3 linked regions of the Drosophila melanogaster genome follow. The protein of the gene in region 1 interacts with the protein of each later gene in a pairwise test. Each region holds a gene or a part of one and is shown in the gene's direction. Other genes may lie near its edges. The genes, in order: ktub, stg1 and wdn.

Region 1 (5,047 bases):
CAGTTTCAGCCTAGAAGCCCGGCATGAATGGAAACGCCTCAAGCTGGACTATCCCCAAAAGGTGAAGGAACTGCGTCAGCTACGCAACAGGTGCATTGCCTATCTCATCTGCATGGCTATGCTTCTGGGATTCGGAGGACTCCTGTTCCGGTACACGGAAGGAGCAGCGGAGAATATATACAAGTGCGAGGTGCGCAAGGTGAAGCGGGATTTCATAGACCGACTGTGGGACGTCAGCCACAACATGAGGTAGTACCAATGGTGCCAAGTGGTAGCCCAGTTCTGTGAGTGATTCATTTGTATCTTTGCCAGAGAGGAGGACTGGAAGTCTCTTGCCCGCCAGAAGCTGCGCAGCTTCGAGGATGAACTAAATAATTTAGCCGAGTTGGGACTACGCCGCTATCCGGGCCAAAAGTCCTGGAACTTTGTCAATTGCTTCATCTTCTGTTGGACCGTGATCACAACTATAGGTAATGGGTTACAATGGACCCATAACCATCCAAAACTCCTAAATCCTTTCGTTAGTTCTTATATATGAGCATATTTCCATTTTAGGTTCTTTTTTTAGTTAGTCATATTTAACTTATTAACTCCCATGCCTTCTTCTCTTCCTTTCCAGGTTACGGCCACATCACTCCAAAGACGGGCATGGGTCGATCCCTGACCATCGTCTATGCCATCATCGGCATCCCCATGTTCCTGATCGTGCTGGCCGATCTGGGCAAGTTATTCACGCGCTGCGTCAAGTTCCTGTGGGTGTATGTGCGACGGATGTACTACACGCGCTCCTGCCGCCGGATACGAAAGCAGCAGCAGATCCGGAGCGCCATGACAGGCTTCAATACGATGTACGACATGGCCATCCGCAGGCCGAGCATGTTCTTCAGCAACTCTGCGCCAGAGAACGATGAGGAGTCGCAGGCGGATGCCGAGGCCGCAAGATCGGTGGGCACCTCGCACCCGGAGACACCCACATCACCCTATCCAGAGACCTTCGAGGTGGACGACGAGTTCAATTTGCCAGTGTCGGTGGCCTCGCTGCTGCTCATTACGTACATCCTCCTAGGATCCTTCGGCTTTCTAATGATGGAGCCCAGCTGGACTCCACTGGATGCCTTCTACTACGTGTTCATCTCGATGTCCACAATTGGGTTCGGCGACCTGGTGCCCAGTAATCCCTTCTACGTAATGGTCAGCATGATCTATCTGATGTTCGGCTTGGCCCTGACCTCCATGTTCATCAATGTGGTGCAGATCAAGCTGAGCGATCACTTCAAAATGGCCAGCGCCAAAGTGGGCGCCACCATTGGCATGAACATGACCAGCGAGCTTGGTGATGAGGGCGGCTCCCAGGTGAAGACTCCCTCCGAGCTTGCCTCGGTGCACGGTTCGCGACTGGACAGGATCGAGGAGGATGGCCAGGAGGCGAATGGCAATGGCCACTCCCCGGTGCCACCACTCACCTCGATCCTGCGCGCACCGCGTCCTCTATCGCCGGCGTCCAATGGAGTGGATGCTAATGGAGTTGGAGCCGATGCTGTTGGAGCTGGGGATGTTACTCCGCCACCTCTGCTGCCCAGGCGTCAGGTTTCCGTGGATCCCCAGCCGCCGGCGGAGGGGGAGAACAAGAAGAAGAAAAAGCACAGGTTTTTCTAGAATCCCTGGGATCTTCCGCCTCCAAACAAAAAAAAAACCGACAAAGTTAACGTGTAAGAAACCTCAAAAATGACAAGGCAATTTCAATCGAATTTACCGTAACGCGAAACTCTATATTCATTTATTTGTTATTTAATTTTACTCACCATCATCGTAGCATAAGTCTAATGTTAATGAAATAAAGCGCGCGAGTTGACAACGCAAATTGATGTTTTTAATTGTTGTAAATTCCGCTTAAGGATCATAATCATAAAGTTGTATAATTTTTCAACACTCTATTATCCTGTTATCAGCGTGGTTTTTTGCTCAATCCGGAATCGAATTGCCAGATGCGTATGCTTTGTACGGGAATGCATCCCAAAATCCCAGTAACAGGGAGTCGGGGGCGCGAATCCAAATGCAGTCGCAGTCGGCAGCTGCACATCTGTCGCTCGTAGGAAATGGAAGAGGAAGCAGCCACAGGAGGCGTTGTGCGGAGAGAGAGAGAGAGAGGGAGAGAGGGAGAGACCCATTCCCATTGAGAGCGAGTTGTGGTTCTCTCTGCCTCTCTTTCGCTGACACACGACAGGATGGCATGCTTCGCACTCCTGCTTCGGCTGGCATTCGTGTGCATGTTCCGTTTCCATTCCGTTCCGCTACGAGCACTTCGCCTGAGTTGACGGCTTCTGTTGGACGCCCAGTTGTTGTTTTGGCAGCGTGCGGTTCGGTCGACGGGTTACATCGCCTTCTCTCCTCTACCAAAATAAAGAGGCGCCAAATTCAATCAATTGGACAATATCACACGCAACTCAACGGGCACGAAAGTGTTTGTCAAACAACATAGATTGTATAACATTATAAATATATGCATATTCAGGCGGTACTCGCTCAGTGGCTAAAGCAAACATTCAGTGCCAGCGATCCGGAGAATTCCGATCGATCGCGTCGGTACAAAAAAAATTGAGCGAGAACAGGAAGAGCCGGCTGTTGGCTTCAGTCTACAAATCCTCACCCTCGTGAACACCCCTTGATTTTTTTGTTGTCGCGTGTGCTGCCGTACTACACTACCACAAACTACAAAATATATACCATACCATACAAACTGACGCCAGGTGTGCTAAATTCATAGATTCTTCTTCAATTATTTTGGTGCCCCATCGGTTTTTGTTTTGCTGCATTCATTCGCATTCGAAAAGTCGCTCTTCAACGCAAATCCCAAAACAGCTGTCACTCCCGAATATTTGCCAAATGCCTCTTCATCGGATCATCTGAATCGCGCGTAGTTAAGTGAAAATCGTCAGAGGATTTTGATTGCCTTCTGAAATCTACAGCCATAACTGCAAAAATGTCCGGAATCAACAGTCGTAATCAGAAAATGGAACAGCAGGTAAACCCAACACTCCAATTTGGCAGATCTTTTCTAGATTTTACCAAACCTATAATCTTTGATAATGTAATCTCTGAAATTTGAATTTCTTTAAATGTGTCATTCATATCCATTGTGTTTGATAATCTTCATAAAGTGGACACATTAAACCAACGATCCTATATTATAACAAAACCAATCTATACATACGACAGCGAAATTTATGAACAATTTAATGGCTACTTGTATTAAACTTTTGCTTTAGCTAAGAATTCTTTAAGAACTTTTTTTCAATTGACCATGAATCAAGGCAAGTTAGCACTGGCCTTTTAACTCTTCCAGCCCGACGGTTCGTGAATGTGGTCTAGAAACAAGAAAATCCACTCCTTTCTTGGAAAACTCGGGCAGCCCATAGCAATCAGCGCCAGCAGAAAAGGGGCCATCAGCCGGCATTACACGGAATTGTTCACTTTTTGGCCTCAAAGTTGACCGCTCTAAATGTGCCACCCCTTAAAGGCAACAAAAAAAAAAGGAAAATGAAACACCCAAGTGGCTTAACGCCTTCTCCAAGTGGTTTTGTTGTGCCCGTTTGCTCGTGGCCAGGTGTTCGTCCGTTGTCCTGGCAACGGCGTCCAAATAAATCGAAACGAAGCTCCTGGTGGTGGTGCAGTTGCTGCAGTCCGATTCGATTGTCATTGGCCCTAATTATGTTGAGTGGCACGGAACCAAAAGGCACCCTACTCCACCCACTGGCTCATAAATCGAATCACTTCGATGTGGTTGAGTTGGGCTGCCAAGTGTGGGAGGTCCTGGGTCCTTCGAGTTACTTCGATTTCGTGCCGCTATGGCTTATAAAACATTGAGCAGCTATTGACAGCTTCTTCGAATGGGAGGACATTTTGAAAACATTATGCCAAGTCATTTCAGCTACAAATGAAATAGCTTGAAAGAAATCGAAAATAAGTGGAAGCCATGGGAGCGCATTTCATTTTGATTGAATTTTAATTTTAATTATAAATTCACATTGAATCATCTCACAAATTCCCATGAATTAACACATTTCGTGATTACCATTTTAAAGCAGCTTGTTTGAATAATGTTTGCTTTATCACATTCATTTTCAAATGCGAGTATAAATATGATAAATATTCACTTGCTGAGTCAAGCTAATTTTCTTTGAACGTGTTAGCATAGAACATTAATCCTTCCGAACAATCGTTTTGGGTCATTTTCTCGAGCTTAAGCCAACACAAAGTTATATCCGCCATAAAAAAGAGAATGTGGCACAAAAAAACGGAGTCAATTTGCACTTGGCATAAATCAACAGAAAGATATATGGCAGTCAACTCATAAAGTGGTCGCTAAATATACACAAAGGATTAATAAAGTCTTCGGCCTGGACGCCAGCTAACCCACAATGTAGTATCCTTTCTTTGATTGGTGTCCTGCGTCACTATGGGCAACTACCCACACACACACACACACAGATATGTCCAGGCAGACAGGATTCTATAGTATCCCCATAGGAACACAGACAGACAGCGCAACTAGAAATATACACAATACCATTCGTTGGCATTGTTTTCGTATTGCCATCACCCATGGAATACCATTAAGCGAGGCCACAAAATCGATTCCCGCCTGGTGACGAGTCCTTCAGCTTCGCGAGGAACTGAGCCGCAGGATAATGCCCAGCAATAAGTCACACAATTGTTCACTACTTCCACATATGAATATAATATTTGCTTTCCGCAAATCGCTCAAGCTTTTCCTCACGCAAGTCGTAAAAAGAAACATTTCGGCCAAAAAAAAAGGATGTGACGCACCGACTTTTTCTAATAAGTTACTTGCGTAGATTAGGGTGAACCTTTAAAGCTTGAGAAGTGATTAAAAAATATGATTTGACTAGAGTAGAGCTCAAGCAGAAAAGAGACCCGCCATCTAACTGACCATATATAACTTTCTTTTGATCAAATGAACAAAGTTTATTCGGTGTACTTCCAACTGCTGTTTTTAGCATTAAGAAAAAGGTCCACCCTAATATGT
Region 2 (5,047 bases), on another chromosome or scaffold:
GCTTGATGCGAGGTTTGAAAACACTTGTTTTTTCCAGTTTTATAATTTTTGATTTTCTTGATGTTTAAGGGAAAGAATTTAAAAATTACTGACGCACGAAAGGATGCAAATTCTTATGGTGTTATGTGTGTTCTTTTTGTAAGTGTGTACAAATTGTATTTGTCCCTAAGTTATTCAATTTATTTATGTAACCCAGCTTATGAAGGACATCCCAACAAAAAAAGATCCTTCTCGAGCATTTCTTGTTTTCTCTAGACATGGGAAAAATTGCTGAAAAAAGTGCTGAAAAAATTAAGAAAGACAGCGGCAATATGAATGCATAAAAATGAATTAAATTAGCCACCCACGCACACATTAGCACTCTCGAAAACACACACTCACATACTCTCGAGCATTTGCATAACTCCAAGCAGGACTAGCAACGTGGACGCGTCTGTGTCTGTGTGCATTGGCAAACATTTGACAGTTGCAACAGCAACAAAATAACAACAAATTAATGCAACAAAATAAATAAAAGAGAAAAAAAAGACAAAGCAAACTGCCAAAAGGCACAACACAAACAAAAATGCAAACATTTTGTTAGTCCTCTCTTGTTAAAAAAAAGCAAAAAAAAAAAAACAAAAAAATGAGTAAATAAAGAAAACGAGAGACGAGAAAAGTGTTGCCAGCATTTGCAGCGCATTTAGATGAAAACTTTTGCGAAAGTTGCAAAAAAGTTACTCTATGTATTTAAATGCTGAAATAGAGAGGGTCGAGGGCTTAATTCGATGGCAAATTAAAGGCGCGTCCAGCAACTTGTTGGCATCAAAATAGCTAGCACATCCTTGTTTGCTGCCAGAATGAGATTTAATTAAGATTTTAATTAATTTGTTTGCTAGCCAAACAAAAATGGTGAGCAAATACTTGAGGCTATTTACTCACGGCCAATACTAGTATATTTAATTAAAGGTTTTTTGCGTTTGTTTTTTGCATTACCAGTTGAATTCTCTTTTGGCGCTCTTGTCTCTTCAATCTCTATTCACATCAAACACCTCCTGCCAGTTGGCTTAATTGCCTTTGTCCTTGGCTTTTGCGCTTTTTGATCAGGATAAGCACTCCGGCAATAATCGTCGGCTTTTGTTTTCCATTTGCCGGATTACATGCTGCTCCCACATGCATACTCTTCACTACAGTCCAATTCAATTTTGATGAAATACCCTTTCCATATCCTTGCATATGCACTAAGGTTTCGCTAAGGACTGCTGAAGAAAGAGCAGTGATGAGGAAGTGCACAGAAGAAGATTCTACAATTCTACAAATGCTTATTAAAGCTGTTAAACTAGATTTTTAGAAAAAACATACGATTTGCAATTGATAATTTTGTTATATGTTTATTAACCAGCAATACACGAATATTACCATTCGTGCCACTGTGTGAGCACAAACAAAAGCGACCCTTTTTTCTTCCAGTGTGGATTTGGCAGCTTAATCTTTGGGTTTTGTTCTGCACCATTCCTGGGCCTGCACTCAGCAATTCCACACTTTCACAAGGTGCACTTAACAAGGTGCTTTAGAGCAAAAACGAGTGTGAACGTGGGCTGGATTTTTGGGAGGGGGGGGGGGTGGGTGGCTTGGTATTTCGGTTGGCGTAGTGTGGGCGGACCATTGTTGGCCCTACCCTTTTAATGGGGCACAATCATGGCACGAACTTACCTCAATCGCATGTGGGAATTCAATTAAATAAACGAGAGTTGCAGCCAAAGAAGCCGGGGTTGCAATAAATGCTTAGATTTGCAGGCGAGTGCAACAACAACTCGGCAAACTATATCCCATATCCACACACACACACACACACACACACACAAGCGCATACACATACACATACACATACACTTGCACGCGCACAGACAGATAGTGGGGATCCCCAAGCGACCGGAAGTCACTTTTAGCTTACAACGGAAGTTGCAAACGTCTGCTGGTTGTTGTTATTACTACTCCTGGTTGCCGTTGGACTGCACAGCGAACAATGACCTATGTACAATCAAATGGAAAATATAATACTACTTAATTACAGTTAGAAAACATGTAGAAGAAGCGCTTTCGGCCCTATAAATGAACGTTGAGAACTCGTAAACTTTAAAACCTAAAGAATTTGTATTCAAAATGCGCGGTTAACTGACGAAACGATCCTCGACGACTCCGTGCGTAACGCTTACGATAAGGAATTACTCTTTTGAATTTGTATTAGTTATAAAAAAAACCCAATTGATTTTTATGAATTTTATTCATAATCTTATGCACAGTTATAGAAATCAAGGCTTTTCTTTCAGTGCACGCCTGTTGGCCACATAATGTGTGTAATTTTCGTATTCAGAATAATTGATACGAACTCTACAGGCCGCAGCTGAAACGCCTGATACCTGGGATTTTCCAGCTGTGCAAATGTAAAAGTTAATTTTCCATTGGTCATAGCCGCTATATTTAGGTCTGCCAAGGAAGCGGCGAATCATAGGATTGGTGATGGGTATCAGGCGTGGATTGCTGCTGGATGGAGACCATCAAAAGCGTAGATAAAATATGGCTCCTGTGTTTTATAATCGCCAGTGAGCAGCAGCAGCAGCAGCAGCAGAGGCAGCAAAATCATCATCCGCAGCAGCCGAAGTTATTCGTTTCGGTTCGTTTTACATGGCCGAGTCGAGTCCTTTGGCCAGGACCACAGCTTCCCTTAGTCGAGTGAAAGTTCTCCAGCGCAACGGACGTGCCCAGCCAGAAATTCGAAAACAAACCAACTTTTGGCGCGCTTTCAAAGTGTTGGATTTATTTTAGTTTTGTTTTGTTTTTTTTTTTTTTTGTTCGTTCTGGCTCAGTGCAGCTAGTGGAATATAAAATGAGGGATTATCCTTCGGTGCCCAATGTGTTTCGCGTGGCCTCCACGCACAGCATCAACAGCGAGAATCCGTACAATAACATTCGACCAGCGAATGTAATCTGCAACACCACCGAAAGGCCGCCGATTGCCATACACCAGCTGACCACTAGTGCATCCATCGAGCACAGCCACCCATCGCAGCAGGCGCAGCACCAGCAGCAACAGTTGCTGCACCACCAGCAGCAGCACCACCACCAGCAACACTCGCCCTATGCAACATTGCCGCGGGGCCAGCGACTCGCGCCGCAGCAGCATCAGCAAGCCGGTGTAATCAACACGATCTCTGGCAGCATTCCGGCCACGGGATTTAGTTCCCTGGCCGGCAGCTTTAGTGATCTTCAGTTGAACAACATCGGTAATCACAGCAGCAACAGCAGAAGCAATCACAACAGCATCAGCAACAACCGACGACAGCAGCAGCAGCAGCAGCAGCAGCAGCAGCAGCGACTGGTCCCTCATTTGAGTCGCCACCAGCCAGCCATAGAGGTGCAGCAGACGCAGCAACATCAACAGACGCAGCAGCAACATGTCCAGCGGCAGCAGCAGCAAGAGCGCCTGGCCAGCGGCGGTGCTGGTGCTACCGATCCGCAGGGAGGCATCAGCAACATGACCACCGTCAACGGGGGTTACCTGTGGCTCATCACACCTGTTGCAGCCAGGTTAGTATGCGATCATAGATCAATCATGAATACATTAGTTTGAGGAAACGAATATGAGGCAAATATGAATTTAAAAAAGCGATGGACTGTACTAATCACTGTAGTTCGGAATATCCTTCAATTTGAAATTATTGTTAATTGTACTCGCCTATTTAAAATTGGAAATTATGTTCCACAAAATGTCTTATCTCTTTTTAATACTAAATTGTTTATACACCATACTAGTACTAGGCAAACGTAAAATAATCCACTTATGAAGGTTTTTAATTATAATTTGCTTGCCTTAAAACCTGAGTTTGAGTCTGCGGTTGGCAACTTTAACGTTTCTCCATGATTTTACTATGCCCCAAATGAACAAAGTGGGAAACCAAGTTATATTTGTACTCATTTCTTTAGGTTTGAGGCTGGTTCCAGTTAATATACTTGACTACTACCTCGATATGTAGATGCTCCTTTTTTTTATTAAGCGACGACTTTGAGTACTACTTTAAGCTTCAAGGTAGCAAGGTCTCAGATTTTTCGCAAAGGGAAATACTCAAAATTCCTTCAGAGAAGGAACTAAATAGTCGAATCCTTTAAACGGATGGCGAAACAGCCTGCTGAATGCCAGCAGCTTGAATTCCTACAGAGGACGCACACACACAATTTCCGCCCATTCTATACATTTTTAAAGAAACTGAGGAAACTGGTTTCACGTGCTTCGCAGCTGGCAAATGGCAGCTCGTCCTTGTTACAGGAGCCACCAGGACATCCAGACCTCCATGCGGCTCCTTCATCCTTGTAGCTTGACAAATAATTGTGTTAGCGACACAAATCACTGCAAAGTGGATTTAATTTGTTCGCAAACTATTTCGCACAAAAGTACACAAAACAAAAATCTAGATTTTTACCATTATGACATTCTTTATTTCGTATTAAGTAAATTAATGGTAAATTAAAGGTAAATTAATGCTAAATTAATGCTAAATTAATGGTAAATTAATGTTAAATTAATGCTTCGCTGTATACAAACAGATTCATTCCGGCTTTGGTTTTTTGCCAAGTTGCTGCAATTCATTTGGCTTAGTTATTTTAAACTTGTGTAAGTTTCGCTCACAGGGATTCACGGAGTGCATGCGCATAAAGCCTGATGTGCGAAAGACCTGGCCACACTTGCTGCAGTTGTGTGGCCAATTGTGGTGACCAGTCTCGCGTTGGTGCTTGTACATGGCCCGACTGAAAAGATAGAAGAATGAGCGATATTAATGAAACGTACATATTTCGGAACCCAAATACAGTACAGAACCCAAATATACAGTTTCGAAAAAATCAATAGCACCACCATAGCGTATCATTTATTTTTGATCATTTGGGTATTTCCCCATCCGAATCTGAAAAGAATTTACATAATATTCGTATAAGGATATACTAGATTCGTTGAAAACTGTGTAACAGCTTTCCGACCATATTCCGCCTGTCTATCCATCAGTCCGTCCGTCTG
Region 3 (5,047 bases), on another chromosome or scaffold:
ATGTTGCATTTATTGAATGTAGTATTTTTATTAGGTCATAATAAATTGCATTTAACAACAAATATATGAATATCAATTGTAATCGTAATTGTAAGCGTAGTACAAGAAATTGCGAAAGATATTTATTTGCACGACCAAATGTAAGTGGGGTACTCACCTTATAGCAGTTTGCCTTGATGCCCTTGCGCTTCTCGTAGTCGGCATACTTGCGCCAATATCCGTAGCAGTAAGGATAGTGGGACAGGAATGTGTCGTAGGCCTCGCGCGCCGCCTCCGCATCAGACTGTTGAGAAAGAAGAAAATTGCTTATTTAAAGTTCAAGATATGCGGCGTTCGGCTAAATAACCACCTCATTGTCAACATATTGCAGCAAGTACGTCCAGCCGGTGAAGTCGGTGGAGTCTTCTTTGACAGCTCTCCAGTACTTATCTAGGTCCGGCAGCTTCTTTCGCTCCTTTTCCTTATCCTTATTATTATCTTTGTCCTTATCCTTCTCCTTATCTTTATCGCGCTCCTTTTCCTTCTTTTTCTCCTTGGGCTCCGATTCTGTGGGTTTAAATATTGTGAGTCAAGCTCTACCAACTAATTAGTCATTGGAAGATTAACAATTACCTTCGACCTTGAGTTTTTTCTCTGAGGGCTGTGCGTCGTTGCTCTCAGATGTGGGACTGCCCGGATTATATTGCTCGGAGGATTTATCCTTTGTGCTTGATTCATGACTGCTTGCATCCTTATCTTCGGTGCTCTTAACGCTTTCGTTTTCCGCCTTGCGCTTCAAAGGTGCCTTGGGCTCAGTGGCGGTGTTATTGTTATTACTGGCGGGCAGTTCATCCTCCGAGATTACTTCAGCATCCTCTGGCAATTCAGCCCGCTGCGGTGCTGGAAGCTCTTCATCGGAAACTTCCTCGGCATCATTTATTTCAGGCTTGCTGGGCAGAGGTAGCTCATCCTCGGAGACTATCTCTGTGTTGACAATGGTTGCATTGCTGGTGTCCGCATCGGCCAGATCCTCGGCAATGGCATGTTGTGAGCTGGAGTCCTCAGAGGAATTCATTTTCTCCATCTGCGGCTGCAGGGAGTCTACATTGTACTCAAAGTCCGCCTTCTTGACATTGTCACTCTCGTCATTTCCACCCACGGAGGGCAGGCTGTTGGCATTATCGCCGGCTAAAGAAGCCAGTAGGGTGTCCACGCCAGCCTGACCGCGTGTCTCTTTAATATCATCACTAGTCTCTGAATGCAGCTCCGCCACCGTGCCAAACGGGAAGGAAGAGCTCTTTTCATCAACCCCAGCAGCTTCGGCTGGCAGCATTTCCACGTCATCCTCTATCTGGTGCTGAGTCTCCTCGAATTGGGGCTCCAAAGCAGGTGCCTCCGCAGTGTTTGTCCCTCTAAAGGGCTCCTCCTCTTCCTGAACCATGACCACTTGCTCTTCGGCCTCCTCTTCGTGGTCACTTAGCTGAAAGGATTAAAAGTCGTTAATGAAGGTTCCCGGCATTTCTCAGAGCATTTGTGGATGCTGTGCCTTCAGTTGGCCCTTGCAGGTAATCACTCGCTCCTCCAGGGAGAAGAATCATGTGCGGATGGAACAACGCCACACCCACACTGGAAATTGCAATCGTTTACATCATTGGCTGATGATCTGGAAGAGGCGGTAACTACGTGGGATGAACTGACCTGTACGTTCCGCTTGGATGTGCGCCGGGTGCTTCTGGTTGGCAGCGATGCAGCCGGGGATGCGGCCTTCCGACCAGAACGTGTGCGGCGACCTGGAAAACGTCAATTAACTTTCTTGGTTAATCCATGCGGTTTACATAAACTGTACGCGCGGTGTTGTGGGTTGTTCGCTGCCTCGTGATGTTCACTTTTTTCCAAATGCTTTAATGGGCTGCTCCAGCTAACTGTCAGTGTCAGCTACCGAAATGGGCTAGTAAGGACTGAATTTTTAATCAACGGTCACTAGGTCCGGTCGAAGGAATGCACGTATTTGTAATTTTTCATCAATTTACCTGGACTTTCCATAACAACGTTTTCGCCCTCTGACGCCATATTAACATTGCAACGTGGTATCGATATACATGTCCCGCCAATATCGATATCTCTTTGTTTGGTCAAGACTGACGACTGACTCATAGCTATATTTTGAATATTTTTCAGAGGTTTTTCGAATTTCGATATTTATCATTTTTTAGCATTGATGAATGAATTATATACAATCTATCAAAAAATATAATTTAATAACGAAAATAGCCTAAGTGCTCAGTGTTTTTCCAGTTCGGCGAACTAGTTCATTTTTTGGCGTGCGCATGCAGAACCTATCTCAACATACAAATTCTAGCAGAAATTACATGTTCCAGCTAGAAATATAATTTAAATATTTTATGGTAAGAGGACTTTAAATATCACCATAAATAATTCTTAATGAAAGAAGATAAAATTTGTTTAATGTTACACATATTATAAATTAGTGGGTTATTAAGTTAACATAAAAAACATAAACAAATAACACAATCATTGGGCCTACTTCCTTTAATATTTAGGGTTTGAATGTTCAATGCATAGGATTTTAAAAGCCCAAAAAATTGTTATAGTTTCTATACAACATAATCGTGAATTATATCAAGTAAATACAAACATGTAAATGGAATTGGTAAGTAAAATGTTTCCTTGTCGGACAAGATTTCTTTTTGAGTCAAGAAATCTCTTTAAATGTTATTTAGAATGGTGAATCCAGTCGTGAATTAAATATAGCTAATAACCCGCCTGGCGAGCATCACTCTTAGCGGGACTGCCACTCGTGCGCGTCTTCTAACACTGTTCTCAAAATGGCGACTCGAGAATTGTAAGCGTGACAAAAACAACAAAGCCAAGGCGCATTTCACAATAATTAAATGTTTTTCGATCAATTGCGGCGCGTTTAATACAACGAAAGCGATCGCGATGAGTGAATTGGGGACCCAGTGACCGGGCAACGGCGACCAGTGAACGCAAAGCGTCAGCGGCGCGGCGAACAAAGACAAAATACGGCGAGCGAAAACGCCGACCGCATAACCTGTACGTGTAAGCAAGGCAAGGCGAATGGAAGGCGGCAAGGGCGAGGGCAAGAGAATGAAAGAGGAGGCGCCAAGCAAGAAGTTGCCGCCTAAAATCTACGGCGGCGATGCGGGCACCCCCACGAAGGCGGCCCACGACGAGATACTCAGCTCTCTGCTGCGGATCAACAACTTCGACTCGATATCGAGCATCAAGGACGAGTCGCTGGACATCGATCTGTCGGCGTGCGTGACCATCAGCTCCGCCAGCCTGGTCAATGGTAACAGTCTCTCCTCCACCGACTTTTGGCGCGTTTTGGACGAGAGTGCCCAGAACAACACCGAGCTGAATCTATCCTCGGACGTCTGCCGCGATGACTTGGCTGCCACCAGCTCGTCAACCGTGCCCAGCACTCTGACCAGTGATAACCACTCCAGCTCGGAGTTTAGTGTGACTTTCCTGCGGCCCGAGCCCCCGAATGCTTTCACTAATTCCCCGTTTAAGAAGACTTCGTCCAGCGGCACCTCCACACCCGTAAAGCTATCGCCCGAGCAGCTCCACCAGCAGCATCAGCTCCAAATGCCCCAGTCTCAGCTGCTGCAACGCAAGCCAAAGCTGCCGGCGGCGACGGCGGTGCGTCTGAAGGTCTTTAAGGAGGAGCCGCCCGAGGAGAAGCATCCGCCGGAGCAAGTGGTCACCAAGGTAGAGGTGTGCGAGTCTGAGCTGCTGCCGCCATCGTTTACCATATTCCAGCAGGCCAAATCGGCTGAATCGGTGGCGGATGCGGCTAGCATGCCGCCTCCGGCTGCTTCGGAAACGAAGCCGTTGGAGGTGGACCCGGCACCTCTACACAAGTGTCTCGACTGCAACGGACTGCTGCTGGAGACGCCCGATGAGGTGGCCAAGCATGAGGCGGCCGCTCACAGGCTGAGGCTCACCTATCGTTGCAGCGAGTGCCAGCGGGAATTCGAGTTGTTGGCTGGTTTGAAGAAGCACCTAAAGACGCACCGCACCGAGGGCCGCAAGGACACCTGGAAGAAGTGTCCTGACTGCGGCAAGTGGTAAGTGTTACTGCAAACTAAAAATAGTTATTCCTATTGACCATTTTACTCTAACTTTAGCCTCAAATTGGGAAGCATGTGGATGCATCGGAAGATTCACAGCGATAACAAGAAGTACCAGTGCGACATCTGCGGCCAAAAGTTTGTGCAAAAAATAAACCTCACGCACCACGCACGGATTCACTCATCGGAGAAGCCGTACGAGTGTCCCGAGTGTCAGAAGCGATTCCAGGAGCGCTCACATCTGCAGCGCCACCAGAAGTACCATGCGCAAACGCGTTCCTATCGTTGCGAAAAGTGCGGCAAGATGTACAAAACGGAGCGCTGTCTCAAGGTCCACAACTTGGTGCATCTTGAGCAGCGACCATTCGCGTGCACAGTGTGCGACAAGAGCTTCATCAGCAATTCGAAGCTTAAGCAGCACTCCAACATACACACAGGAATGCGCCCGTTCAAATGCAATTATTGTCCGCGAGACTTCACCAACTTCCCCAATTGGTTGAAGCACACGAGACGCCGACACAAGGTGGACCACAAAACGGGCGAACACCTCGAGAACATTCCCTCCTACTGCTCTAAAAAGTCCACTACAAACAAGGCCCAAAAGGCAGCCGCGGCAGCAGCAGCAGCGGCGGCAGCATCTTCAGCTGTGAATCCCAACGAACTCTCCGCTTCTAGTGAACTTAAAGCCAAGGCTAATCTTACGTCTACTGCTGCACCGGCTCCTGCAAAACAAGCGCGGAAAAAGAAGCAGCCGCAGCAGGCCACTCTTGCTGCATTGGGAATAACTCTACCTGCCGGTACTGCTCTGCAGCAAGTGCATCCTGTGCCGCTGGCGCAACAGCATCAGCAGGAACTTACCACTGTGCTGGTGCCGCTGGCCCCGCCGGCTCCTAAGCAGACCAAAGCCAAGCGAGAACGAAAGCAGCTAGCACCGAAGCAACTGCAGCAAA

Evidence for each region.
Region 2: the proteins of ktub (region 1) and stg1 interact in a two-hybrid assay, tested with the Drosophila melanogaster proteins (one large-scale study listed by BioGRID).
Region 3: the proteins of ktub (region 1) and wdn interact in a two-hybrid assay, tested with the Drosophila melanogaster proteins (one large-scale study listed by BioGRID).

Annotation. Positions count from the first base shown.
Region 1 is NT_033778.4:21,099,596-21,104,642, forward strand, and holds the start of ktub (king tubby), read left to right. Parts: upstream 1-2,332; 5' UTR 2,333-2,980; coding exon 2,981-3,022; intron 3,023-5,047. Other genes in the region: CG34396 (uncharacterized protein), read left to right, coding at 1-249, 313-470, 620-1,656. UniProt on the Drosophila melanogaster protein: Functions in regulating protein trafficking, retinal maintenance and lipid storage. Protects photoreceptor cells R1 to R6 against light-induced retinal degeneration by stimulating norpA-mediated endocytosis of the rhodopsin ninaE (Rh1).
Region 2 is NC_004354.4:21,091,119-21,096,165, forward strand, and holds the start of stg1 (stargazin-like protein), read left to right. Parts: upstream 1-2,725; 5' UTR 2,726-2,866; coding exon 2,867-3,567; intron 3,568-4,561; exon of another isoform or gene 4,562-4,583; coding exon of another isoform or gene 4,584-4,782; intron 4,783-5,047.
Region 3 is NT_033777.3:28,809,117-28,814,163, reverse strand, and holds the start of wdn (wings down), read left to right. Parts: upstream 1-2,826; 5' UTR 2,827-3,078; coding exon 3,079-4,094; intron 4,095-4,154; coding exon 4,155-5,047. Other genes in the region: Prp39 (pre-mRNA processing factor 39), read right to left, coding at 158-283, 350-546, 613-1,459, 1,678-1,769, 2,010-2,049. UniProt on the Drosophila melanogaster protein: May belong to a complex set of multifingered proteins which play an important role in gene activation or regulation at early embryonic stages through a maximal accumulation of their transcripts (or protein product) in the mature oocyte.